7 linked regions of the Oryctolagus cuniculus genome follow. The protein of the gene in region 6 purifies or fractionates together with the protein of the main gene of each other region. This does not show direct contact. Links are inferred from orthologs where the notes say so. Each region holds a gene or a part of one and is shown on either strand. Other genes may lie near its edges.

Region 1 (3,500 bases), on a different chromosome or scaffold from region 6:
GTTGGAAGTATCTACCAGTGCCATCTGCCAGCTACATTGTGCTAAACAAATCCTCCATATATACCTCTGTTATCATACTTACCCAATGGTATAATAATCTAAATGCTCATTTGTTCACCATTAGACTACGATCTTACAAAGACCAGTATTTGATTATATAGCCCCAATAAAACAAATACACCAAAAATGACTGCAATTTTTTTGAATCTCTTATAATACCTTTTGCTTTCTCTTTTCCTTTCTCTTATCCTCTGTATCTTGCAACATTTTTTCTTTCCATAAATCAAAGAAATATGAAGGATTGGTATAAAACTTCAAACCTTCTTTACCATCATCTCTGAAACACAAAATGTCAATTAAAACACACAAAAGTAAGACACAGAGCAACAACCAGAATAGAAATAATTTTACTAAAATTTTTCTCTCATGTTAATAAAACATAGAATGAATTAAAATACTGCCAAAATAAATTAGAATATCATAGCACTAGAAAATTTCTCAGAGATCAGAATGGAAATTAACCAAATGCTTTTCAGAGTTGGTACTAATAATTTAAAATACAGTTGGGCAAATTTCATATCTAACTTCTGCATACCAAATTTTCTGAAATGCCTTTGGACATTAGAATAATTACAAATAGTTCTGCCAAAGGTAAAAAGTCTGAAAAGATAGTAACATCACTTGTAGTAGAAAAATTTTATAATTTTTGCCAGCACAAAATCTTACTAAATCCAAATGATAGCACTGAATAGTCATTCTGACAGTAAAACTTAGTCAATGACCTGCACTTTCACATAACTATTTGAATACCAGGATATGTTTTGTACATCTTCAATTATACATTTAATAAATCATGTAAAAGGATTCCAAAGAAAGGCTGAATTAGTTTAAATGGTATTTTTAAAAGACCTACTACCTATTATGTAAAACATTAATACAAATAGATCAAAAGCAGTCAGAACAAGCAAAAGCGTGGCATTTTAAACTCTTCATTTTTCCTTTGATTATAAATTAAATAAAAAGGGTAACAACTCTTTGATTCTTTACATTAACGTTAGTAAATTTGTTAGCGGCTTTTCTTAACAATACTTGTCAAAACAACTTCTCTGAATAGGTCTTATCTTTTGTATGCTAGAACCTTGGAAACTTATCTCATGAATAAAGCAAAGGTTTCCGAAAGTTAGTGGGGAGGGAGAACTCTCTGTGTTGGCCAGAGGCCTGATGAAATAAACAGTATTTGGGGATTTAGCATTTAAATCTGAAGTCTGAGATAAAAGCAGATGTTCTCATTTATTAACCTACTGACCTGTAAGGAGTGAGTATATTGAGAGGGGGAGGCTGCTCGCAAACATCGTACGTCTCCTGTAAGGGAATAGGCAAAGTCTTGCGGTCGAAGAGCTGCTGGTCTTGAATGGTAGAGCTTCGGAAAGCTTTTCTCATAGTTATATCTTGTAAAGACACTAAAACAAAAATGGAGAATTGATTTGATTTTACTAAAATGACAATATAAGGGCAAATTAATATACTATATTTGCTTAAAAGTCACTGGCTGAAGAGGTTGTGTGACCTTAGTAATTTATAAATCAGAAGCCATATTTTATATTTTAAATGCTCTATTGTGACATTTACCTTTATCATTCTGTGTCTAATTTTTACAATCAGATGGGTTTTAATTCAACCTTTGATTTCTAAGGCACAGAAGGTCTTATGACACATAAACTGTATGTACATTTCCCAACAAGTGTATCTTTTTTCTTCTCTCTATCAGCCATCCTTGGTCCCACCAACTTAAGATTCTTTTTCTTTTCATCTGTAACTTTTTTCTCCATTTTGGTTTATTTCTTCTTGTGAGCTCCCAACAATAACTCTGAAGAAATTACTTGGTTATCAGTGGCATTTTGGGCTAAACATTGTTGACTTCTATGTATATATACTAAAAATACTATACATGTACTGCCACAGTAAAACAAACTGTAAGGAAAACAATTTGAAGTACTGGGTGATCAGTTTTATTCTCCATCTTTTTTTTTTTTTTTTTTTTTTTTTTTTAATTTTTGACAGGCAGAGTGGACAGTGAGAGAGAGAGACAGAGAGAGAAAGGTCTTCCTTTGCTGTTGGTTCACCCTCCAATGGCCGCCGCTGCAGCCGGCGCACCGTGCTGATCCGAAGGCAGGAGCCAGGATCTTTAATCTATACTGTAATAATTTCTACTTAACTACAAGCTCTTAAAGACTGACTCTTGCACATCAGCACCACCAGTAGCTAGCACAGCCCCAGCATGTGTATGATGATTTGAGAATAACCTCATGGGGCTGGTGCTGTGGTGTGATGGGTCCACCACCTGCGATACCAGTATCATATGGATATATGGGCACAGTTCGAGACCTGGCTGCTCCATTTTTAAACCAGGTACCTACTAAGGTCCCTGAGATAGCAGCAGCAGATGGCCAAAGTGGGCTCCTGAACCCATGTGGGAGACCTGGAAAAACTCCAGTTCCTGGCTTTGGCCTGGCACAGCCCTGGCCATTGTGACCATTTGGGGAGTGAACTAGCAGATGGAAGTTCTCTCTCAGTCTCTCCTTCTCTGTAACTCTGCCTTTCAAATAAATTAAAATAAATCTAAAAATAACTTGATTTCTTTTTAATGTGTAGCATGTTAAAGTAAGAAATGTACCAGGGGCCGGCGCTGTGGTGCAGCAGGTTAATGCTGTGGCCTGTAAGTCCCAGCATCCCATATGGGCACCAGTTTGAGACCCAACTGCTCCACTTCTGATCCAGCTCTCTGCTGTGGTCTGGGAAAGCAGTAGAAGATGGCCCAAGTCCTTGGGCCCCTGCACCCACGTGGGAGACCCGGAAGAGGCTCCTGGTTCCTGGCTTTGGATTGGGGCAGCTCCGGCCGTTGCGGCCAATTGGGGAGTGAACCGGCAGAAAGAAGACCTCTCTCTCTGCCTCTCCTCTCTCTGTGTAACTCTGACTTTCAAATAAATAAATAAAGCTTAAAAAAAAAGAAATGTACCAAAATACTGCAATCTTAAGAGTGATTTCCTGATATTAAAAAAGTACATAATTTCTTTTCTATTTAAGGTGGGCCTTAAATCCTTTATACTATAGCAATGCCAGTACCGAACAATCATAACAATTCTTAAATTATTCTTCTCAATAAAATAGTATTTCTATCATTCTCCAAGTAAAATTCACTCAATATGAGTATTGGATCCACGGCACATGTGGAGCATTGAGACAGGCTCTGCAACGGACCCAACACAACTACACTTCCAGCAATTTCACTGCTAAAGGACTACATGACTGGTAGTCAAGTACACTTATAAACACCAGATTAAAATACAGAGAAGGGGCAAACTCATTTTCTCTACTGGCACTAAAAAGTGCTATGGAAGAAATCTAAAGACTAACTGTACTAGATGCTTTCACTAACTTTCACTTAATCTTCACAATTCAGTGAATCAGAATTATTATTCCATTTTTTAAATATAAAAAAA
Region 2 (3,500 bases), on a different chromosome or scaffold from region 6:
CACCTTTTGGCTACTGGGATTGAGGCTTTGAGGGATGCTCACACACAACTACCTGAGTCCCTGTTTTCAGTTTTTGGGGGTGCGGGCCTAGAAGTGGAACTGCTGGCTCTTACGGTAATTCTACATTTAAGTACTGAGGAACCAACAAAGCGTATTCGTTAGCATTTTGCAATAGTGTCTTTTTGAAATATTTTTTAAAACAAAAAAAGGTTAATGTTTTTTAGAAACAGATCATGTGGTGATAGCATACGGATGTGGGGAGGCCCCCTGCCCCCAGCTCTCTCTCTCTCTCTCTCTCTCAGCAGCCTCTGGTGCAGCTGGCACCACCCCACTTCCCCAGAATCTCTCCAGCTCCCCTTCGACAACAGCAAACCAGGGTAAGGGCACTTGCCCCTCGCCTGGCGCAGGGCACGCTGCTCTCCTGCCGTGGACCCCTCTCAGCCACAGGAAGGGGCGGGCTCCCCGTGCGGCTTCAGCCCCCACTCCCTGCCACCTCCTTCCTACCCAGAGTCCCCTCGGATGAGTCGTCACACAGTGGCAAAAGCCGGGTACCACTTCCGGCGGCATGAACAGCACCCTTCCGGAAGATGGATCTCAGGGGTGCACGCAGACCCTCAGAACAGTCTTTGCAGATGCCTTGAGCTGAACGCACCCTGGATGGATGGTGGAGCCCCTAGGCAGTGACTGGAGTGGAGAGGACACAGTGGGAACCGTGGGGCCCCAGCCCAGCCACGGTGGGATTGCCGGAAGCCGCCGGAAGCCGCCGGAAGCCGGGAGAGAGGCGTGGGGCAGATGGTCCACATCAGCCTCGTGAAGAAGCTGCCAGCCCACACCCGGCTCAGGCTCCCGAGACACGAGGGGCCGGGGCTGCCTCCCTGCTGCGGGCTGTGGTCGCTGGCTGGGGCAGCCCTGGAGGCTGTGCGGTAAGTGCCGCCCCTTAGCCCCTGCACACTGCCTGGCATGTCTCTTGTGGACACCCGGAGGCCACGGGCCCTACATGGCTCAGGAGCGAAGGGGGCTGTGCCAGGAGAACAGGAGCCTGCCGCCCCCAGCCCCCAACCTCTGCAGTCCGTCAGGCACCTGGGCTGAAGCCAAGGCCTCGGGTCAAGGGGACTTGCGGAACGGACGCCCACTTACTGGACTGCAAGCTGAAGCTGAGCTTGGCCCTCGGTGTGACCGGAGGGGGCGTCTGCTGGGCGGGCGAGGATGACGGGGACACGGAGAAGCGCCGCTCGCTCCCGACGACGCTGAGGACCTGGCTCTTGGGTCTCTGGGGCCGCAGGGGACTTATCTGCATTGCGGGGACAGAAAGAGCACAAGGTCTGCAACTGGGCTGAACCCTGTCCCTCCCCGAATTCCCGCACTCAAGCCCTAACCCTCCCGACCCCAGGCCACGACGCTGTCTGCAAACAGGCTCTGTGCCAATGACTGCATCGCGATGAGGTCCACAGGGTGGGCCCTAATCCACAACGACAGCTGATGTCCTTCTGAGAAAGGGTGATGGACAGACACACACAGGCAGCACGTGTGCTGCTTCCATATGCCAAGCCTTGCCAGGCTGCCAGCATCCAGCTGAGGGGCACGGCACAGGCGCCAACACCTTGACCTTGGACTTCTGGCCCCCAGCACCGGCAGAGAATGCATCTCTGCGGCTGACACCTCCGACGCAGTGCCTGTGGCAGGAGCTGCACTACACGAATGCGGGGGCTCACAGCACACTGCTTACACAGCCCGGGGACGCCAGCTACTGCACAGGTGTCCTGGAGCAGCAGGCTACGGCCGCAACCAGTCAGACACCATGCGAGACACACAGGGCAGCCTCCAAGGGCCAAGAGCAAAAGGGACCAGGCAGGGCTCAGCTCCAGGGCCCCAGCCTGCCCCTGACACTGGCATCTCCTGGCGAGCGCGTGCGCATGGAGAACCTCGTCTCTGCTGCTTTCCATCTTTCCCCTCGTGCGACGCTGGTACTGAGTAGGATTCTCTCTCCTTCTCACACTTCCTACAACGTGGTCTCAGGCCATCAGGCCTCAGAGAGCCCCAGCTACTACAACACTCTGAGGCGGGAGTCAGCAAAAAGGTGATGAGCCCTGCTCACCAGGAGGGCTCCAGCCCACACCCTCCCCCACCACCACCCAAGGAGGGCCAGGCAGGTGTGGCCTGGCTCGGCACTGTGGCCTGACCTGTGGGCCTGGAGTGTGGCTGCCTGGGTAGTGGTACGGGGTCTGCAGTGTCACTGCAGGGGATGGGCAAAGCCAGCGCCAGTCCGGGGCTCTGAGGCTGGAAGGAGAGGGCCCTGGCTGGGAGGAGGGGTGAGGCTCAGTGGAGAAGGAGTGACTCGCAGCCACAGGCGACAGGGCCACTTCCGGAACTCTCCTGCGCCGCACGGCCGGGTCCCAGTCAGCCGGGTTGCTGGGAGAGCTCTGGAGGTGCCGGGTCACTGGGTCAGTGCGCCTGCGGGCTCGGCAATGGCTCAGGCGCCTCTGCCGGCCTCTGCTGCCGGGCCCCTGAGGCAGAGAGCAGAGGGGGCTTCACTGGGGACACGCAGGGTGGAGCCTGCAGGTCCGACTCACAGAGCCTCAGTGAGAGGTCAGGAATTGCTGCCGACGCACACGGAGTACGGAGAAGCGGAGAGGAGGGAAGACTTAGGCAGAAGCTCTGGGAGACTGGGTGGTGGGAGGCTGGGGGCTGGGAGATGGGGGGCTCCATGGCAGTACCAGGGGCCCAGGGAACACTAGCGGGCACCGATGTCACCCCTGGCCCTGCCCCAGGGGTGCACGCCTGGCCACAGGCACAGAGGCCCATGCAGGACAACCCCTGGTGCCCGACTCTGTCCTTACACCTCTTGTTGGAACCTGTCCCCTCCCGGTGGCCACTTTGTGGAGAGAAAGGCAGCTGGTTTGGACCAGGGTCAATTGCTGGCCTCCCGGTGGCCGTCCTGGGCCTGGCTCAGATGCTGACAGCCAGGTCAAGGTTCTGCGATCTGACCGAGGTGAGTTCTGAGGGCTTTCTGATGGCACTCAGGGGGCCGTGTGGCCCCGCCTCTGGCCTTGGCAGCCTCAGGGAGGGGCGGAAACTGTGCTCTGATGGCCTGGGGCCTGTCCTGGGACTGCTCTTCACCCAAACCTGCTGAGGTCCGCTCTGCCACCTGGCTCCATCTTGAAACAGAGCCTGAGTCAAAGTGCATGAGACTCAGTGGGAGTCTGGGATTCATGGACTGTGCAATCAACGCTTCCGTCCCTTCCCCCACCCACTTACAGGGGTTGAAACTTGAGAATTCTCTCCCGGGCTTGGGAGAAGCTTCAGCTGGCATCCCAACTGGAAGAGTGGACACAGATGGAGGCTGGGTCATCTGGGGCTTGGCACCTGGGCAGTTCATGCCTCCACGGGGCCCCATGGCCGTGTCCACCTGCAGGCTGCGCTGAACATGACCACATGGCTACAGCTGTGGCCAGCACATGCCCACAGGCCTTAGCAAGTGCCCACCTGCTTGGAGGCCCCGA
Region 3 (4,300 bases), on a different chromosome or scaffold from region 6:
AATCTTGATGTGAATGGAAGGGTAGAGGGAGTGGGAAAGGGGAGGGTTGTGGGTGGGAGGGACGGTATGGGGGGAAGCCATTGTAATCCATAAATCGTACTTTGGAAATTTATATTCATTAAATAAAAGTTAAAAAAAAGATAATAAAACTTAAAAAAAAGAAAAAATATTGATTTATTTATTTGAAAGGCAGAACAACAGAGAAGAAGAGAGAGAGAGAGAGAGAGAGAGAGAATCTTCCATTTGCTTGTTCACTCCCCAAATGGCTGCAATAACCAAGTCTGGGCCAGACCAAGGATAGAAGCCAGAAACTTCATTATGGGCTTCAGGGGCTCAAGCACATAGGCCATCTTCCACTGTCTTCCCAGGCACATAAGGGATGAAAAAAGCAAATGTTGGCTTAACCTACCATGCTAAAACGCTGTCCCCTCCAAGCTTTTCCAGGTTGTGTTTTAAAGCGTTAATGAGACACAGTGATAATGGCCTTTGCTCTCTTCCCAACTCAAGGTGATAACACTGAGCCTACTGTAGCAGCCAGTGGCCCACTTTTAGTTCCCCTTAGTAGGGTAGTACGCCGCAGAAGCTCTCTTAGTGTAAGCCTGTTTTGAGGGTTGTGATGCTGTATTTAAAAGGCTTTTTTTTTTAGGTGTTTTTGTTTGTTTGTTTTTTTGCAACTGATTTCTGGGAAAGACAGGATAGCAATCCAATACTGGAGACCATCAATCCAAACTCTGGCTTCTAGAAAATGCTACCTGTTTAACTTGGTGACCACCGATGGTGAGAAATAAATCACATACTTTTACTATCAATCCTCATTACAGCAAATCATGTTGGCAACAAGGAAGGCAACCTGAGTGTGCTTACCTCCACTTGAAGGGCTGCACATCCCTTCAGGAAGTCATTGATATTGTTGATGCATTGGGCTTCAGTTTGGGGCTCCAGACAATACTAGAGAAACAGAGTCATATGTCACTTGGAGATTGTCATCCCAGAGCAAACAGACCGTATTCATTATGTGCTGATAATTAACTAAGGTAGGTTTTTTTTAAGGCAGGAGGCAACGTTGCTTTCAATCCAGGAAGAGAAATAACCACTAAAGGAAGTGATGCAAAAATCTAAACAGTTTCAAATGTCACCGAAGCTCTAGTCTCAAGCCATTTCTACTTTCAAACGTCTTTCTCATGCCTTCAGCCCAAGTATGGTGATACTACCATGGAGAGACAAGACAGTTTCTTGAGCTTAGCTCCTGCTTTCAAACAAGGAAGTAATACCTATGACCTCCCTCTCCCTCCCCATGAGAACTTAGTAAAATTACATTTTCTCTTTGCTGCTCTCTATATTTTACATTTTTCTGCATTTTAGCACTCTTTATCAAGTTTACAAAATTATAAGTAAATCTCCTTGCTCAATAAAAATGCATGCTAGTTCAAGAAAGCAAAAAAGCTGTACTCACAATCATGTTCTATGGTAACTTAAGAAAATAATTGTAGGTGTCTACGTTTAAGTTTACATAAAATGTCTACTTCAGAAATTATCCATTCTTGTGATCATGGGCTTCCAACTTTAAAAATCTTGGATTTTTTTTAAAGAGGGGTAAGGTTAGTTTCACTTTGAATGCACGTTGCACTTGAAATACACATTAGGCTTCTATTGTTTCTACAAACTTTATGTGACATTTTGGATTCTTTTTCCTAGTTGCTAAATAGTCTCTCCTTCAATGGATAGTTTTTAACAGAAAATCTACATTGATTTTCAGTGAAACTGTTGAAACACTATCAAAATCTATTATAAATCATTCCACTATATTGTAGACTCCTGTGTACCTCCAAGTTCAAATCTTCCTCAGTACCCAGGCAAGTGTAACATATACGTCTCCATAATGGAGCAACCTTGTGATACAAGTGCTCCCCTTGTCCCCTACTGCCAGAAATATAACAGGTAGTTTACTATATTAATATTTGAGATCCAATTACTAAAGGACAAGATTTCACTGTCTGACTTTTTCTAGAGAGAAAACCAGTAAGAAAGAATGTAGAACTCCTAGAGAGGTATTAAAGTAGGAGATTCCCATGACCTGAGTAGTATAAAATCTCCAAGTCCATGAACTGCTGCTGTGTGGTAGAAAGCAATCCCAAAGACACTGCAAATTGACCTTACCTTTCCCACAGAGCCAGGCATAAGTCTGTTGATCAATTTGCACAGCACTACCCCATTTCTCAGCGAAGACTTCAAGAACTCCTCCGGATCACAGATGGTCTTTTTTGGGGAATCTAAAACTCCCAAAGATATCAGCCAGGTCACGATTCGCTCTTCTGGATTCATTACTGAGGACAGTACAGTCTGAACAGCTCACTGGGGCAGCTGCAAGGAGTAAGCCACATCCGCGATTGCATCTGCTGTCGTCTTCCTTTTTCTGAGTTCTCTTCTGGTGCTTGCAGAGCAAAGGTTTAAAGCAACTTTTCTCAGACAACAGTGACCCCACTCAAAATGTGGGATTCTAAAAGCCCAGGGATCACATTCAAAGATGTGGAAACAGATAAGAATGAATGTAGAAATCCTGGGTAACACCAGTTTTCTTTTTCAAAATCTGCAAAACAAATTCAGTACGATAAAAAAAGAAGAAACACACACACCCCTCCCAAAAAAAAAAAAAAAAAAAACTCAACAGTTCAAGAAGCCTGTAAGGGAAGGAAGTGAGAAGGACGCTGGGGAGGGAGGAGAGAGAAGGAAGCAAGTGTGCGTGGAAAACAGAGGTGAGCCAGCACTTCAGGGGACCTTGGAAATGAAACATTTGTGGGCCAGTCTGGGAGAACACTGTCAATAAATAAATAGCCTATCTCCAGTGAAATTCTGGCTTCTGTTACGAGGAAGATGCCAACTGGCTCTTAGGTCAGACAGCTCTGAGCCTCGTGGCGAGCTCAAAGAAGGTCAACTGAGAAAATTCTACCAAGAAATGGCTGGATGTCCTCATACTGTCTCACAGAGATGGTGTGTCATGATCATTCCTCGCAAAACATGTTGAGTTGCGTGGTGACAACGTGCCAAGCAAATGAAGATTGTGCCTGCTGTCAGCCATCTCTGTGTATAAGCAGAAGCTAGAAGAATGGCATTTTACTTTGCAGCCAAAAAGCTATGTTTAGGGAAATAGGCTAAGGATAACATCTGACATCCTGTTTACTTGCATTCTTTAGCAATTCTTTTTCTGGACCTGGTTCCACTACTCAATCCAGCTGCAGTACCCTTAGCAAAGGCTCAGACACAGTCACATAAGCGGCGAAAATACACTTGAAAACAGAACGTTTGGAAACAAAAGAGCATTTGTCCTCTATCTACACTACAGTGTGGATGGTTCATGTTTCCCCACAAGAAGCACTTTGCATTTAAAATGCTGCTCTGGGGGAAAGAAACTAAGCTGTAATTCCTAAATGTTTTTAGAACCAGTTGAAATAGTCACACTATTGGGAAATTACTGACAAGGCTGCTTGCAAATATATGACATTCACAATCACTACCCCTTCGTGTGCATGGGAGACATCTGATCATTCATGAGTTTCACAGTCAATTTCAGTACAGCTTCTACCATCTACTATTGAATAATCTGTTTAGATAACCCTGCTAAACATTTGCAAAGCTGTCCCTTCTTGCCCTGTCACAACACTTATAACAGTCTATTATTACCGTTTCGTCTGTCTCCACTAGAATGTAAACACCCTAGAGTAGGGGACTTGTTTAACATTGTGTTTCCAGCAGAGTCCCTAGTATCCACCATTGTAGATGTTCAAAAGTGCTGGATGCAGGTGGGCATTTGGCACAGTGGTTATATGCCATTTGACATGACTGAACCCCATTGCACAGTGCCTGGGTTCAATTTCTGGCTCTGTTTCCAATTCAGCTTCCTGCAAATGCATACTCTGGGAGGCAGCAGGTGATGGCTCAAGTACTTGGGTCTGTATCACCCATATGGGATACCCCAGTTGAGTTCTGGGCTTCTCGCTTTGGCTTGGCCCAGCCCTGGTTGTTGTGGGCTTCTGGAAAGTGAATCAGCAGATGGGAAATTCTCTCTCTCTCTCTCTCTCTCCTTCTCTTTCTCTGCCTTCAAAATAAATAAAAATTAATAATTTTAAAAGTGCTAAATGAGAGAATAAATGCATGTACTAAGACGGCATCCCTGACACAGACTTTACTTGGTTATTATGGGGATTTTTTTGTTTTACTTAAAACAAATATTTTTCCTTGCTAATCATTTTTATATCTTTGTTTAGATATGATTGACACATAATAAATTGCACATGTTTAAGAT
Region 4 (4,239 bases), on a different chromosome or scaffold from region 6:
TCGGTCAAACAGCTCAAAGGCCTCCTTGAACTCTGGGGGACACAAGGAGGGATCACTGTAGTCCAGGACTCCCATCACTCCCAGACAGAGGCAGGCTCAGCAACTATGTGTGACAGCTGGGAAGAGCCAGGGAGGAAAAAAGAACTATGTGGCAGGCTTCAAGGTCAGGGCCGGGGTTAGGGGAACAGCAAGAGGATCTGACCGGGGCCTTGGGACTGGACAGTGGCTCAGGAAACCAGCTTCTCCTCACCCTCCAGCTGATCCTTGTTAAACTCGATCTGTGGAAGAGAGCAGGTGAGGAGAGATGACGAGGATTATGCAGTCCCTCTGAGCCTCCTCCCCACCAACTGGCAGCCACCTCTGTCCCATTCCCAGCCTTAGGCCTTGGGAGAATCCCAAGAGGAGGAATTACAGGGGGGAGGGTTTCCTGGGAACAGGGTTAATCCCATGCCACCTGTTCCCCTCCCTCCACTGCCCTGAGCCCTGCATCCCTCACATAACTGGGGGCTGAACAAAGGCTAAATTTACCCCTGGCCCCCAGCTGTGATTGTCTAACAAGTCTGCCCTCTTCAGCCTCCCCTCCTGGGGTTCAGAGCTGCAGCCAGAGGCAGGGAACAGCTCTCTCCCTTCACCTTGAAACTGTCCTCAGAGCCCCCCAGGTGCGCCTCATCTCAGGGTCCCTGCCACCGACAGCGGGTGAATGTACACATACACACATGTGTAATAGCTTCCAGGGAGAGAACAGCAAAGACCACAGCGGCGTTATAAGCCTGAGTGCTTCCAGATGGGGCGCACAGGGAAAACTCCAACCTCATCCCAGTGCTCCCGGGTTCCCTGCCTTCTAGGCACCTGCTAGTCCCCAGGGGCAGTATCCCACCCTTGACCCACCCCCTCCAGATCCTAGCCTCACTTTCCAGGGACTCACCACCACTTTGGAGAGATCCACTGGGGGCTCCTGGGGTTTCTCGGGGGCTGCTGGGACAGCAGGCTCAGCCTTGGGCTTGGCTGGAGGAGCCCCCGCTGCTGGCTTGGCAGCTGGCTTGGAGACGGCAGGCCCTGGGGCGGGCCCTGCTGGTTTCTTCACGGGAACATCTTTCTTGGGAGGCATGATGTCCAGTGGCCACAGGACAATGTGCCGATGGGGGCACCCATCTCTGTTTAAATAGCCAGGGAGTCTGGGATGTCAAGAGGCGGGGGCAGGAGCAGGGAGCCAGCTGGCGGTGGTGGCGAGGATGAGGTGGAAGAGAGATATGCCTGCCTGCCCTCACTCCCCTGGCCTCCCAGGGTTCAGGACTCCTGCCCCAAGGTTTTCTTTTTTCTGCTCACCCCTCCCCAAGAGCTGCCTGAAACAATGTTCCCCTTGGGCAGCCAGGGAGAGGAAGCCGGAGACTGCCCAGAATCTGGGAGTTAACCTCCAGGGTGAGGACCGGCTTCTTGCCAGTCACACGGAGATAGGGATGAAGCAAAGGAGGGAATCCAGCAGCCCAGATAGGGGTGGAGGGGGGGCGGGGGCAGGGAGCCTAGCATGAATTGGGTAAGTTAAAGGAGGGTCTAGGTGAAAGGTGAAAAAATCAAGCAGTGTCACCCCCACCCCTGCCACTCCTCCCTGACCCTGGGTTAGCAGCAGTGATACTTGACTCCACATTGTTCTAATAATCTCTGATATGTGTAATCTGTGGGCCCCCGCTCAGCCCAGAACTGGAACTGTGCAAGGGATCAAGAAAGAATAGCAACAGAAAGAGGAGGGGGACTCCGCTTGCCTCGGTGGTGCCCAGTGTTGTGTGGGGTGGGGGTGAAGGTCGGGTTTAACGTTAACCCACTACCACCCTTCCAACGAAGAGACCTTTTATCCCAAGCCCAAGTCTGACAAAAGGCAGGAAGCTGGCTGAACCTGCAGGGACCCCCTGGTGGCACCTGGGGGTTACCGCCGGTTCTGGGAGACAAAGGGCCTACGTTCTCTAATCCAGAATGATGTGGGAGCACCTGTGCGTGCCCTGAGTTGCTCACCCCCGCAACCAAAGAAATAATAAAAGCCCCACCTCAGGGGCCCAGGTCACAAACCTTGCTGGGGGCGCTGGGCCAGGGTCGTGGGGGGCGGGGGAGTTTGAGAGTGGGGAGGGATTGCTGGATACTTTTGTTCTGGGGGTGCAAGGGGTGAGAAAAGGATTAAAGTAGCCTTCTTAAAGGAAGACAGTAATGAATTCATTTAGGCCCTGGGGTTCAGCGATGCTGGGTCTCCCATTTGCAAAAGCTCGACTCATCTCATTACAGCAAATTGTCCTATTTCTGGAAAATAAGGAATCATTCCTCCAGCGGGGAATACAGCCATAGCATGCATACACACACACACCCAACCCTTAAAGGAAAAAAGCCCTCCCTGGTCCCGCAAAACTCACCCTGCGGGGTCCGGGTGAGGGACGGGGACGGGGGCGGGGGCGGGGTGCACCGCGGTCCCCGGCGCTCAAGGGTTAATTCTGGCGGTCGCAGAGCACGCCGGGAGTTGTAGTCCCTGGCGCCCGCGGGCTCACAGGAAACAACGCGCCGCCGGCAGTGGACGGGGGCTTCCGGCTCGGCGCGGCTTCCGGCTCTGCGAGTCACCGCGGCGGTTGGTGACTCAAGCACTTTGGAGCGCGGTTTCTGTCCCGGAACTGAAAGGCAGCAATTTACAGTCCCCACCCCTCACCCGAAACCTCCGTACCGAGGCCTGGTGAGTTCCCCTGTTAACACGTCTGCCGGCGAGAGGACTCGGAAGCGAGGGAACGGTGGGGCTGCTGCAGGCGACGCGGAGGTCGCGGAGCCGGAAGCACTTCCTGCGGCCTCTGTCGGTGCCCCGCGCAGTTTGGTGGAAAGAGAAGAGAGGCCGATGCATTACTGTGTCGTTTGGGGCAGTTAACTTGTCAAGTTGTTTTTGTTGTTTTATGATGAGCTGGTCACTGAAATAAATGTTAAAAAATGTACAGTTAAGCCTGGTCACCTGCCTCAGATTTCCAACTCGAGGTCTCCATGGATCCGAAAATGCTCACGGCATCGCAAAAATAATACCCTGGGGTTGGCGTGGTGCTGGCGGCCGGGGCCACGCGCAGGTGTGCAGGGAGCCGAGCGTCAGCGGGGCGAGGCGCGAGTGAACTCTATGGGTCGTGTGAGTGGTGGTTGTGGGTGGGGAAAGCTGCTCGGAAGAGAAGAAAGGGTTTGTACCGCAGACTTAGCGGCGGTGACGACGCTTGCCGGTTCCCGGAGGCCGCGCAGGTGAGGGCCTGGTGAAAAGGCGGGGAGCCTGAGAGAGCGCCCAGCGTGCTCAGGTTCGACTCCCGTTCCCGCCAGCTGTGGTCCTGGGTTCTCCCATCAGAGTCAGAAGAGTGTGCCCCACCGGGAGCATTAGCTGTGTTAACATTTGTAAAAAAAAAAAACAGTGTCTGGCAGCCGAAGTTTTGTAAAGTGTTACATGAATGTGCTTTAGTCTTCCCAGTACATGACATAGATGGTGTTTTCCCCATAAAAACAATTTTTTTTTTTTTTTTAATTTGAGAGAGACAGAGCTGTTTCATGTCCCAAATGCTCTCAACAGCCAGGGCTGGGTCAAGGCTGAGGCCAGCAGCTGTTAACTCAAGCAGGTCTCATGTGAGTGACAGGAACCCAGTGAACTGAGCCATCATGACTTGTACTATCAGGAACCATGGATCAGAGGCCAGGTATTGAGCACAGGTAATGAATATGGGACATAGGCTCTAGAACCACTAGACCAAATGCCCGCCCTGGTGTTTCCCCAGTTTACACCCAGGAAGGATCAGTAGGTATGAAGGCTTTGAGAGCAAGAAGGACTATATTTCTTATAAGTGTTTGATTCATTTTTTTCTCCCCCTTTCTCCAATCTATGGCCAACTCTTAGCACTTTGCCAAATGTGAGTGGTTATGGCATCTGCTGACTTTGTAGCATTTTCAGTCTGTTTTATAGGGAAATGCTGCAATAGAGAGAAGACCCTTGGCAAACACACACTGAAAGACTGGCCTTCATTGTCTGTGCTGTGCCTGTCTTTCGTTCATAAATAACACAGCTGGGAGCAGACATTCAGCCTAATGGTTAAGGCACCTGTGGCCCACATTGGAGTGCCTGGGTTTGAGTCCCAGCTCTGGCTCCTGAGGCCAGTGATGCCTCAAGTAATTGAATCCTTGCCACTCAGGTGAGAAACCTGGATTGAGTTCTTCACTCCTGGATCTGACCCCAGCTTAGACCTGTTACTG
Region 5 (3,500 bases), on a different chromosome or scaffold from region 6:
CAAGGGGGCACCAAGGAACAGGAAGTGACTTTGATGTGCACACGGAAAGAGACCAACTTTGGTCAGCTTCCCACAGCCTTGCCTGGATGCTCCACTACCCCAGGGCAACGCAAGGTCACCCCAGGGCAAAGCGTCGGTGCTTAGGGTAAGGTTGGGGACTGAAGAGGACCTGCCCACACACAAACAGTGAGGACCTCCTCACACACAGGACAGAGGGGACCTGCTCACACAGGACAGGACAGAGGGGACCTGCTCACACACAGCACAGGACAGAGGGGACCTGCACACACACAGGACTGAGGGGACCTGGTCACACACAGGACAGAGGGGACCTGCACACACACAGGACTGAGGGGACCTGCTCACAGGGGACAGAGGGGACCTGATCACACACAGGACACAGGGGACCTGCTCACACACAGGACAGAGGGGACCTGCACACACACAGGACTGAGGGGACCTGCTCACACACAGGACAGGACAGAGGGGACCTGCTCACACACAGGACAGAGGGGACCTGCACACACACAGGACTGAGGGGACCTGCTCACACACAGGACAGGACAGAGGGGACCTGCTCACACAGGACAGAGGGGACCTGCTCACACACAGGACAGAGGGGACCTTCTCACACAGGACAGAGGGTACTGCACACACACAGTACAGAGGGGACCTGCTCACAGGGGACAGAGGGCACCTGCTCACAGGGGACAGAGGGGACCTGCTCACACACAGCACAGGACAGAGGGGACCTGCACACACACAGGACTGAGGGGACCTGCTCACAGGGGACAGAGGGGACCTGATCACACACAGGACACAGGGGACCTGCTCACACACAGGACAGAGGGGACCTGCACACACACAGGACTGAGGGGACCTGCTCACACACAGACCAGAGGGGACCTGCACACACACAGGACTGAGGGGACCTGCACACACACAGGACTGAGGGGACCTGCTCACACACAGGACAGGACAGAGGGGACCTGCTCACACAGGACAGAGGGGACCTGCGCACACACAGGACAGAGGGGACCTGCTCACACAGGACAGAGGGGACCTGCTCACACACAGGACAGAGGGGACCTGCTCACACAGGACAGAGGGTACTGCACACACACAGTACAGAGGGGACCTGCTCACAGGGGACAGAGGGCACCTGCTCACAGGGGACAGAGGGTTCCTGCTCACATACAGGACATAAGTCACCCACAAGACATCGACTGCATGTGGTGGGTGGGACCAGGAGGCAGCCGGGCCTGTTCTCCCTCCTCTCCCCTCCCATGCCTGGTGGCAACCACAGAAGGTGCCCAGCTCTGGCAGACGCCCGTCCTGTCTGCCCACCCACCGCCTCGCAGTGGCCTGTCACCTGAACTGCTGGTACGTCTCCGACAGGTAGCTGTTCATGGACGACAGGTGCTCATTCTCCCCCTCAAACAGCTTGTTGGAGGCCGCGTGCTGCAGCACCTTGGCCACGGAGCCCAGGTTCCGGCGCTGGTCGGGGCTGATCTGGCCCCCGGCGGTCATGTCGATGATGTCGAAGCCGTCGGGGGCCACGATGGCGGGGTTCATGTAGCGGTAGTAGAGCAGGTTCCCCACGACCTGCCCAGAGCATTTGAGAGACAGAAATGTACACTGTGGGCGTTTTGCTTTGTTTGTTACATAATCTTGTCTTAGTTACATTTCCAGGAGAAATCAGACCACTTCTGATATCTTAGCTACATTTCCAGGAGAAATCAGACCACTTCTGATACGATCCCAACAAGGAGCTCAGCACAGGCTGTTGAGGTGACCACACACTGGAGAGGACGTGGTGGTGACCACATACTGCGTAGGCCATGGAGATGACCACAAACCACCGGGAAGTGCAAGGTGGTGACCACACACTGCATAGGCCATGGAGATGACCACAAACTGCCGGGCAGGCCATGGTGGTGACCACACACTGGGCAGGCCGTGGAGGTGACCACACACTGCATAGGCCATGGAGATGACCACAAACCGCTGGGCAGGGCATGGTGGTAACCACACTCTGGGCAGGCCGTGGAGGTGACCACACACTGCATAGGCCATGGAGATGACCACAAACCGCTGGGCAGGGCATGGTGGTAACCACACTCTGGGCAGGTCATGGAGGTGACCACACACTGCATAGGCCATGGAGATGACCACAAACCGCCAGGCAGGGCATGGTGGTAACCACACTCTGGGCAGGTCATGGAGGTGACCACACATGGCCAGGCAGGCCGTGGAGGTGACCACACACTGCTGGGCAGAATGTGGAGGTGACCACACATCACTGGACAGGCTGTGGTGGTGACCACAAACTGGGCAGGCTGTGGAGGTGACCACACATGGCCAGGCAGGCTATGGAGATGACCACACACTGGGAAGGTCCTGGTGGTGACCACATACTGCGTAGGCCGTGGAGATGACCACAAACTACCAGGAAGGGCAAGGTGGTGACCACACACTGGGCAGGCCGTGGAGGTGACCACAAACTGCCAGGCAGGCCATGGTGGTGACCACACACTGGGCAGGCCGTGGAGGTGACCACACACTGCATAGGCCATGGAGATGACCACAAACCGCTGGGCAGGGCATGGTGGTAAGCACACTCTGGGCAGGTCATGGAGGTGACCACACATGGCCAGGCAGGCCGTGGAGGTGACCACACACTGCTGGGCAGAATGTGGAGGTGACCACACATCGCTGGACAGGCTGTGGTGGTGACCACAAACTGGGAAGGCTGTGGAGGTGACCACACATGGCCAGGCAGGCTGTGGAGATAACCACACACTGGGCAGGCCATGGAGGTGACCACACACTAGGCAGCCCTGGTGGTGACCACATACTGCGTAGGCTGTGGAGATGACCACAAACCACCAGGAAGGGCAAGGTGGTGACCACACACTGGGCAGGCCTTTGAGGTGACCACAAACTGCCAGGCAGGCCATGGTGGTGACCACACACTGGGCAGGCCGTGGAGGTGACCACACACTGCATAGGCCATGGAGATGACCACAAACTGCTGGGCAGGGCATGGTGGTAACCACACTCTGGGCAGGTCATGGAGGTGACCACACATGGCCAGGCAGGCCGTGGAGGTGACCACACATGGCCAGGCAGGCTGTGGAGGTGACCACACACTGGGCAGGCCGTGGAGGTGACCACACAGCACCAGGAGAGCTAACAGAAGCTTTTGGTGAGAAATGCGGCCTCTCTCCCCAGGCGCTCATGGCAACGCACTTCAGTGGTGCCTGGGCTCTCCAGACTACCCCCAGCCGAGCAGCAGTCCCGATGGCCACTGCACCACCAGTCACCCGGGCCGTCTCCCGACGTGGTGGCTCCTCCCCGGGTGAGCTAAGGCGGGGCCACCCCCGGAAGTCTACCTTCAACAGCTCATCCTCCGAGGCCTCGGGGAATTTCTCATGGATGGAGTTCTTCAGCACTTTGGCTACATACCTCAATCCATAACTACATGGAAAACAGATGAC
Region 6 (4,187 bases):
GCTTGGGCCCCTGCATCCACGTGGGAGTCCTGGAAGAAACTCCTGGCTCCAGCTGTTGTGGCCATTTGGGAAGTGAACCAGAGGATGGAAGACCTCTCTCTCTCTGTCTACCTCTTTCTGGAACTCTTTCAAATAAATAAAATTAAATTAAAAAAAAATAGCCAGCTGATCCCAGTTATAAAATGGTTAAAACTCAGCTTGCTTCCAATTTGTGGTATCTCCACCTTTTGCCTTCACTGTTTAAACACCTTTAACTGAAACTCGGGGCCATATTTACAGCTTTAACAATCTGATAAAACAACATTCCAGCAGTATCATCAGGAATATAGCTTACCAGTCGAAAGCAGAAATATATTCTTGGTACGGAAAATTTGGGATTTGGATTTTTACTGAAGAAATGTTTGCTACGTATGACCCCTGAGAGTAACAGTGTAACTTTTTTTTTTTGGCAAAAGTTCACTTTACTCCAATACTACTTAAGACAGTCAAGAGTCAACATAAATGTCAAACCCTCATTAAAATACCGTGGGGACAAGCCTTTGCGACACTGGCACCCCACAGCGCGGTGCCGGGCTTCGATTCCTTGCTGCAGGCCCCAATTCCAGCTTCCTGCTAGTGTGAACCCCGGGAGTGGTGGTGACGGCTCATGTAGTTGGGTCCCTCCTGTCCATGAGCAAGACCTAGAATGGGTTCTCAGATGCTGGTTACAGGTATGTTGGGGGTGAGCTGGTGGGTAGGAGCTTCTTCTCTCTCAAGTAAATTTTAAAAATTAAATTAGAAAGCAGACGGGAAATTCCAGGGCGGGAACAGTGTTTTGAATACTCATACTCCCTCACAGAGCCTCACACAGTGCTGGTCCTGGTCACTTCCAGGCAATCAGTAGAGGCCTGGCCCCTGGGAGGGGCTTGCCAGCCAGCCCCCTGCATGATTTCACTGAACTTCCCAAGGAGGAACCTCTCTGGGGGAGGGGAGGAGTGATGTGCTCTCAGACACCTCCCAACTAAGTGGTGAGATGTGGGCAGGACAGACACACACAGCAGGCATTCAACAAGTATTCACTGGAAGGAACAGCAGTACCAGCAGGAGAGGGCTGGGAGCTCTTCGTGTCAAACACCCTGGGTCCCTGCTTTAGAAACCTTCAAGTCAGAATACTACATTCCATCCCTCGGTTCTGAATTACCACAACTTCACTTAGAAAGAGAGCTAAGCATATCCTAAGCATAATCGATGGAGCATTTATAACTTTTAAGGGAAATCCAGGTCATTTTAAACGTTCCTAAGAAAAAGTGACGTTTTGCTGATGCCTGACACAAAAGCATGGAAGAATTCACTTAAAATAATCCGCTGACTTCATTTTCAATCCCACTTCACGAACGCTTTTCCCCAAGTGCCAAAGTAAGGTTTTCTTTTAAAAAGGTAACATAGCATACACATTCCTAAATAAATGAAATTTAACAATTTTTATTTGAATACGTAGAACTATACAGGGTTCACCTTTCCCACGTGTGACACGAATCCAACAGACATGCATCTCCCCAGAAAAACCAGTGTCCTAACTGTCCTCCTTGCATCCGAAATGCACAAACAATCTCAAACGTCTCCCATCAGTTCTCTAAGCTAAGAGATCACACATTCACTAAGAGGCATAAAAAAAAAAAAAAAAAAAAAGATAAAAGTCGGAAGGCCACTTTTGGGATATGAACCAGAGGTGTCCAGCGCACTCTTCCTCCGACTCTGGACTTGGACCAGTTGCATTCAGAGCTGGGTGAAACTGGTAGTAATTCTTCGAGAGTCCCTGTCCCACACTAAGCTACACAAGCAATGCTGAGACGCGCGATTTTGCTCGGATCACACTGGGATTCTTGTTTATAAGGGAGGGAAAAACACACACACACACACACACACACACAACTGCATAAGACCGGTCTTGTCCTCCTCTGGGGCCTGTAACCCCCACGGGCGGTCCTGGAAAGAACTCCATCCATCCCTGCCGCGCTCAGCCAAGGCCTCGGTTTTTTAATTTTTATTTTTATTTATTTTTTTAAATAACGACCACATTGCAGGAGGTCAGCTTCCGTCACACCTGGCCCCTGACAGCATCTTCCAAACTTTGTCCACGCCAAGGGCGCCACCGACCATGTCGAAGAACCCCACAAGTGGCCAAGTTACAAGTGGCAGCGACGCGGCCGCACGCTGGGCTTCCGGTCACTCAGACCACTGGACCTCCGCCGCCCGCCCCGGCTCCCCGGGCTGGAGGGGTGGGGGTGGGGGGCGACCAGGAGGTTTAGGGTAAATGCCAGGGAACGGCCCCTTCTCGCCAAAATAAAATAAAATAAAATAAAATGATTTGCACAGGCGCCCGAGAGCCGTGCCAAGCCGGGCAGGGTGGCGGGCGGCGTCCGGCCGCCCCGCGGGCCCGGGAAGGCGGCGAGAGGGCGGAGTCCACTCTTGCCCGCGGCCGGCCAGCGGCAGGGCCCTCCCCCCACCAGGACGCCGCAACCCGGCCCGGGACGACGGCGGGTGAGGGGCGCCCGCCCGAGCCCCGCGCAGAGGCCGCGCGGCGCCCACGCGACCCTCGGCGAGCCCCCGCCGGCCCCCCAGAGCCCCCGGCCGCGCACTCACCCGTCTCCCACCACCACACACTTGATGGCCTGCATCTGGGCCGCTCGCTGGGCCGCGGCGGCGGCGGCGGCCGGGCGCTGAGGCGGGAAGCGGCGGGCGGACGGGCGCGCGGCGACGGGCGGGCGAGCGCGCGGCGACGGGCGGCGGGGCGCGGGATGCCGGAGCCACTGTCCACGCCGCCTCGCCCTCCGCGGACTGGAGGCACAAGCCCGGCAGCAGCCACCACCCAAAACGGAGGAAAACTGCAGAGAAACAGGAAATGGCCGCTCCACTCACATCCGGCCGCCCCTCCCCCGCGCCGGCGCCGCCGCTCCCAGGCTCCGGGAGGGGCCGCTCCCGCCCGAGCGGCTCCCGGGGTTCCTCGGGGCTTCGGGAGCGCTCGGGAACGCTCGGGAGCGCTCGGGAGCGCTCGGCTCCGGCCGCGGGGGCGGGGCGGCCGCCATCTTTCCCGCGGGCTGGGCGCGGCCGGGTTTGGACTGGGAGGGGAGGCGGGGGTTCCAGGAACCGCGCTGACGTCACCGACTCCCGGCCCGGCCGTCCGAAGGGCGTGGGTTGTTCCCCCACCTCTTTATTGTCCTGTGTGTATGGTCACTGTCACTTAGGCGATGACATAAGGGCCTTCTAGAAATTTCCGAAGCTGAAGCTATATAAAGAAGGAAAAAAAAAGAAACCATACCATTATTGGGCCATAATCAGTATTCATTCCATCATATTTCTTTTTTTTTTTTTTTTAAGATTTATTTATTTGAAAGAGTTACAGAGAGAAGATGGAGAGAGAGAGAGAGGTTTTCCACCCGATGGTTCTCTCCCAATTGGCCGCAATGGCCAGAGCTGGGCTGATCCAAAGCCAGGAGCTTCTTCCAGGTCCCCATGCAGGTGCAGGGGCCCAAGGACTTGGACCACCTTCCACTGCTTTCCCGGGCCACAGCAGAGAGCCACATCGGAAGTGGAGCAGCCGGGTCTCGAACCGGCGCCCATATGGCGCTTCAGACCTGGGCTTTAACCCACTGCACCACAGTGCCAGCCCCTCTCCATATTTCTTTTTTATTTTATTTATTTATTTATTTATTTATTTATTTATTTTTGACAGGCAGAGTGGACAGTGAGAGAGAGAGAGACAGAGAGAAAGGTCTTCCTTTGCCGTTGGTTCACCCTCCAATGGCCGCCGCGGCCGGCGCTCTGTGGCAGGCGCATCGCGCTGATCCGAATGCAGGAGCCAGGTGCTTCTCCTGGTCTCCCATGGGGTGCAGGGCCCAAGCACTTGGGCCATCCTCCACTGCACTCCCGGGCCACAGCAGACAGCTGGCCTGGAAGAGGGGCAACCGGGACAGAATCCGGCGCCCTGACCGGGACTAGACCCCGGTGTGCCGGTGCCGCAAGGCGGAGGATTAGCCTAGTGAGCCGCGGCGCTGGCCTCCATATTTCTTAATACACACAGTGAACATGTTTCAGGCAAGATTGAAAAATCATACTGAATCTCTAATATTTTTAATTGCGGCTTACTAGTCCATTGTACACATGTACCTTTTTAAAATTTTACTTTGTTCATTTATTTTGATTTTACT
Region 7 (3,944 bases), on a different chromosome or scaffold from region 6:
GGAAGCCAGGTGGGTGGGAACTGCTCACCTGCCTGGGGTCTTGCAGAACTGGGTCTTCACACACTCATTCTGGGAGCTGGGAGTCTCCTTGGCCTTCCCCAATCCTCAAGGAGAACCCCCTGCCAAGGATGGCTCAAGCCCATGATTTCCCAACCCAGATGGCTTCAGATAATAAATTCCTCCAACTAAATTTACCAAAAGGGTCAAAGTTGAATAACATAATAATAATTAAAAAAAAAACTGACAGAGTCAGACTTAAATGTATGCAATGATCCAGTTGGTCCATCTGCTTTTAATCTCACCAAGCACATCCTGAAAGTAGAACAAGGATATCCAACCTGGCGTAGGGAGACATTACAGAAGCAGCTTGCTACACCAACCAGAGGAGTGTAGAAGGGAAATCAAGAGGGGACACATTATTTTTGGCTTTGTAAATCTGCTCAGTTTCCTGGTTGTATCCTGCGTCCTCAGCATTTGCACTGATTTAATTATTTTAAGGAAAACCACTTCTGATGATTTTAGCCAGGGAAACATAACGGTTCTGTGTTCTGACTCACCCTGGCACAAGACCCACCTCAATTATCTGACTGCCTTAATTCCCTGTATAACGGGACCTGTCACTGGACCTTCAGCCTGAGAGTGGAACACAAGCCTCCCAAGGAGTGCCGGCTGGTCTCTTGCTGAGGAGGTTCATTTGCCAGGCTGCAAAGTACAAACTCCTACAGAACTCGCGTTAGCTAAAGTGCAGCTGAACCCACCAGCAGCAGGGGAGAAGGGCGAGGTGACATTTCTGGCCACAGCAGGAGCCCAGGCACATGGAGCCCCCGGGACACCGTGCGTGGCGTCGCAGTCCCTGGAGGGTGCCCAGCGCCTGGCCCGAGGGGTGCTGTGTGGCTGCGACGGCGACGGCGCCCCCTCCCGCGACGGCCCTGGCTCACCCGGCGCCTCAGCCTACCTTGACCACGTCGTCGTTGAGATGCTTGGGGTCGCGGTTGACCAGGTCGATTTCCTTGGTGTGCGCGTCGTACACTTGCTTCTCGTTCACCTCGTCGGCCATGGCCTTGTTGTTGGGCTTGTAGATGTTGCCCTGTTCCCGGATGGGAACAGTGTAGAGATGTCCCTGGGGAGGGTGACAACCGCAGTGGGAAGAATAATTCAAAAAGGAAAGCAAGCGGTCAGAAGAAGGCAGCCTAGCGACCAGGGGCACTTGGAGTTCGAAATCCAACTGACCTCGTCGACAGCGGCCGCTCAGCGCACAGAAAACTCCTGCGCGCCGCCAGCTTTTTAAGAGGATCGCGGAGACGACACCACACCCCTCGGTACCAGGCAGGGAGCGCCGGCCTCCCCCGCCCGCCGCCAGGGGTCAGGGCAAACCCCGCGGCGCGGCCAGCCCGGGCCCCCGCCCCGCGCACGCCTGGCCCGCGTCGCCCCGCGGGGACCACTGCGGGGAGGGGGCCGATCTAAGGCTGCGCTCCGGCCCCTATACCCAGAGGCCTGCACCTGCTCCGTTTCTCCGCCCCGGACCCCTGTCACCTCCCGGCCCCATAACCCCTTCCTGCTTAATCCTGAAGATACGGCGGGAACCTCCAGAGCCACGGAACGTCCCCGTTTTTTTGCTGCTGCTCCGCGTCCCTCTCGCACCTGCCCGCGTCCCCTGCACCCCTTTCCTTGGCGTTCGCTTGTCCCTCCTCGGATCCCCCCGACCTGCGTGGGGAGGTGGTTGTCACAAGCTCCCACGCCCCCCCCCCCCACCTCTGGTCCGCACCAAGTGCCAGATCCCCCTGGAAGTAGTTGTCACCTGCACCACCGCCCGGACCCACCACCCTCAGGTCGTTCCCAGGCTGCCGGCGGGTGGCGGAGCAACCGCTGCGTTTGGGAAAACCGGGTGTCCGCACCCAGCGCGGGTGGTGGTTGGGGTTAGGAGGAGGCCCACCCCTCGCGGAGCACCCCCGACAGGCGCCGAGAGGCGGCAAGGGTCCTTGAGACGGCCCAAGAACTTTGGAGAGAGCAAACACACGCGCGCCGCCGCGGGGCAGCTGCGCCAGGCTCCTGGCGGGGACTCGCGGGGACTGTCCCCAGGACTGCGGATAAAGGACGCCCGCCCCCACCCCAGCCTCCAGCGCTTCAGCTCCGTGGAGGGTCTCGCAACAAGGGCGCACGCATGTAGAATACGTGCCCCTAAGGGGCAAACCAAACTTGAGGATTGCGACCCTTGTCCCCCCCCCCCCCATCCCACCCTCTATCTCCCGGGCTCCTCTGGCCTCCTCCCCAGCAGGAACCTAGAAAACATTCCTGGCTTCTCTTCACCTCCCCGCCCAGGCCCATTCCTCCAAGGTGCCAACGCGACAGGAGTGCTCCCAAGTGGAGACGGGGCCGGGACAAGGAGGAAAGCAGCCGGAATATTTGTGGAGTGGGAGCGGGTAGGGGCAGGCACTCCCCGCGCGCCCCGGGCGGCGCGTCCCCACCATAGCCTACCTCGGAGTCTACGTATTTGCCCCCAGACATGCTGGCGCGTGGCTGCACGGAGCCTCTGAGGAGGTTTCCCCGGGCTGTGATTTAAGAGAACTGAGGAAGGAAGATCTTGTATTGTACCGGGGGAGGAAAAAAAAAAAAAAAGGCGCTGGCGGGGGGGCGGGCGGTGGCTGGGAGGGAGCCTCCTGGCCGCGCGCCAGGGGCTTGTTGGGCGCGCAGTTGGCCGGGACGTGCGCGGCGCCGGGTCCAGGCACATCCCCGAGGTTCAGGCAGCGGCGGGCGGGGAGTGCCAGGGGGAACCGAGGGCGAGCGCGCCAGCCTTGCCCCCGGGCTCCGCTGCTTGGGCAGAGACCTGCCACCTAGGGCCACGTTTGCCCAGCCCGATGCACCCGCCAGAGGCGTCCTGGGAAGAGCGCGTGTTTTTGCTGTGCATCACCCGGCAGGGGTGGAGCGAGCCCAGGAGCAGGCAGGGACAGATGCCCGGTATGGGCAACCCAGGCGTCAGAAAGATGTCTGCGCGGTCGCAAGTCCAGTTTGCCCCCACTGCTCACGTTCGACCACGGCCTCGGAAGCCCGGAGTCGCGGAAGAACGGATGAAAACCGGCTCCGGTTTAGGGACTTTTCACATTCAGACGCAAGGAGAGACTGCGCGGTGCCTGCCTGTGTGTGGCATACTTTTGGTGACATCTTGTCAGTGTGGATGGAAACTCGGAGAAGCAGGCGCGCAGAAGTGCACGTTTCCCACTCGCTCCTGAAAAGTCTCCCGGACGGTTTGAAATGAGAAACTGAGATGTTTAACTTTTACATAATCGTACTACCGATCTTTTCCGGAACAAAAGAAATTCACGCAAACAGGTCATACCTTATTTATATCGTACATTAAATATTTACAATTACTGAAAAAAATTGAGTTGAGCTTTAGGTTTATGACTGGAGAGTATATTTTTTAAATGTGCTTGGCTATGAGGGGAAAATTAATTTTGACTAATGGAACAGACTTAAAAAATGTGTTTGCAATCAAAGTATTTTTTTGGTTCCTGAATTTGGAGCTTCTTTCTTTATCGAATCATAAAGCAGCACAAGGTGGATTGAACAGTAATCATGTTACTACAGTAAATCATTTTATTACATACGTGGCTATGATAGGTCAGGAAATTCACAATCCAAAAATGGAAAAGACCCGAATGGAGTCTGAAGTCAAATTATTTGAAACTAACTGCAAGGCTGGGGGTACACCTGAAGGGGCACAGACTAAATTTAAAAACTGGCTGTTTAGAAAGGGGAATCGGGTAGGGGGAGAAGAGGAGAGGGCACTGGAGGATGGAGCTCTGAAAGAGGTGATCTTGTGCTTGGAGAGGAGATTCAAATAGAAGCTGGGAAGGGCAGGCTACTGTTGATAGCCAAAAAGCAACACCTTTTGAAAAACAAAGATATCTGTTTCAGCTAGGACAGGCCTGGAAATGTCACACAGT

Evidence for each region.
Region 1: the proteins of RAC1 (region 6) and WASF1 purify together in Homo sapiens (affinity purification with western blotting; 3 studies listed by BioGRID and IntAct, with this or other methods). This does not show direct contact. The link is inferred for Oryctolagus cuniculus from reciprocal best matches to the Homo sapiens genes RAC1 and WASF1.
Region 2: the proteins of RAC1 (region 6) and DOCK1 purify together in Homo sapiens (pull-down; 6 studies listed by BioGRID and IntAct, with this or other methods). This does not show direct contact. The link is inferred for Oryctolagus cuniculus from reciprocal best matches to the Homo sapiens genes RAC1 and DOCK1.
Region 3: the proteins of RAC1 (region 6) and ARHGEF6 purify together in Homo sapiens (affinity purification with mass spectrometry; 3 studies listed by BioGRID, with this or other methods). This does not show direct contact. The link is inferred for Oryctolagus cuniculus from reciprocal best matches to the Homo sapiens genes RAC1 and ARHGEF6.
Region 4: the proteins of RAC1 (region 6) and myosin light chain 6B purify together in Homo sapiens (affinity purification with mass spectrometry; 3 studies listed by BioGRID and IntAct, with this or other methods). This does not show direct contact. The link is inferred for Oryctolagus cuniculus from reciprocal best matches to the Homo sapiens genes RAC1 and MYL6B.
Region 5: the proteins of RAC1 (region 6) and IQGAP2 purify together in Homo sapiens (affinity purification with mass spectrometry; 5 studies listed by BioGRID and IntAct, with this or other methods). This does not show direct contact. The link is inferred for Oryctolagus cuniculus from reciprocal best matches to the Homo sapiens genes RAC1 and IQGAP2.
Region 7: the proteins of RAC1 (region 6) and CAV1 purify together in Homo sapiens (affinity purification with western blotting; 4 studies listed by BioGRID and IntAct, with this or other methods). This does not show direct contact. The link is inferred for Oryctolagus cuniculus from reciprocal best matches to the Homo sapiens genes RAC1 and CAV1.

What each region holds. Positions count from the first base shown.
Region 1 is NC_091436.1:61,398,742-61,402,241, reverse strand, and holds part of WASF1 (actin-binding protein WASF1), read right to left. Parts: intron 1,461-3,500; coding exon 1,307-1,460; intron 338-1,306; coding exon 220-337; intron 1-219.
Region 2 is NC_091446.1:4,383,026-4,386,525, forward strand, and holds part of DOCK1 (dedicator of cytokinesis protein 1), read right to left. Parts: intron 1,292-3,500; coding exon 1,138-1,291; intron 1-1,137. UniProt on the Homo sapiens protein: Involved in cytoskeletal rearrangements required for phagocytosis of apoptotic cells and cell motility. Along with DOCK1, mediates CRK/CRKL regulation of epithelial and endothelial cell spreading and migration on type IV collagen.
Region 3 is NC_091453.1:114,649,163-114,653,462, forward strand, and holds the start of ARHGEF6 (rho guanine nucleotide exchange factor 6), read right to left. Parts: upstream 2,801-4,300; 5' UTR 2,323-2,800; coding exon 2,158-2,322; intron 949-2,157; coding exon 865-948; intron 1-864. UniProt on the Homo sapiens protein: Acts as a RAC1 guanine nucleotide exchange factor (GEF).
Region 4 is NC_091442.1:58,960,184-58,964,422, reverse strand, and holds the start of myosin light chain 6B, read right to left. Parts: upstream 2,801-4,239; 5' UTR 2,699-2,800; exon of another isoform or gene 2,569-2,698; intron 2,554-2,568; exon of another isoform or gene 2,397-2,553; intron 1,155-2,396; 5' UTR 1,109-1,154; coding exon 889-1,108; intron 279-888; coding exon of another isoform or gene 251-278; intron 33-250; coding exon 1-32. UniProt on the Homo sapiens protein: Regulatory light chain of myosin. Does not bind calcium.
Region 5 is NC_091445.1:1,137,875-1,141,374, reverse strand, and holds part of IQGAP2 (ras GTPase-activating-like protein IQGAP2), read right to left. Parts: intron 3,481-3,500; coding exon 3,396-3,480; intron 1,606-3,395; coding exon 1,373-1,605; intron 1-1,372. UniProt on the Homo sapiens protein: Binds to activated CDC42 and RAC1 but does not seem to stimulate their GTPase activity. Associates with calmodulin.
Region 6 is NC_091450.1:40,075,988-40,080,174, forward strand, and holds the start of RAC1 (ras-related C3 botulinum toxin substrate 1), read right to left. Parts: upstream 2,801-4,187; 5' UTR 2,658-2,800; coding exon 2,623-2,657; intron 1-2,622. UniProt on the Homo sapiens protein: Plasma membrane-associated small GTPase which cycles between active GTP-bound and inactive GDP-bound states.
Region 7 is NC_091434.1:151,971,519-151,975,462, reverse strand, and holds the start of CAV1 (caveolin-1), read right to left. Parts: upstream 2,801-3,944; 5' UTR 2,506-2,800; coding exon 2,476-2,505; intron 2,063-2,475; exon of another isoform or gene 1,799-2,062; intron 1,378-1,798; exon of another isoform or gene 1,231-1,377; intron 1,121-1,230; coding exon 956-1,120; intron 1-955. UniProt on the Homo sapiens protein: May act as a scaffolding protein within caveolar membranes. Forms a stable heterooligomeric complex with CAV2 that targets to lipid rafts and drives caveolae formation. Mediates the recruitment of CAVIN proteins (CAVIN1/2/3/4) to the caveolae.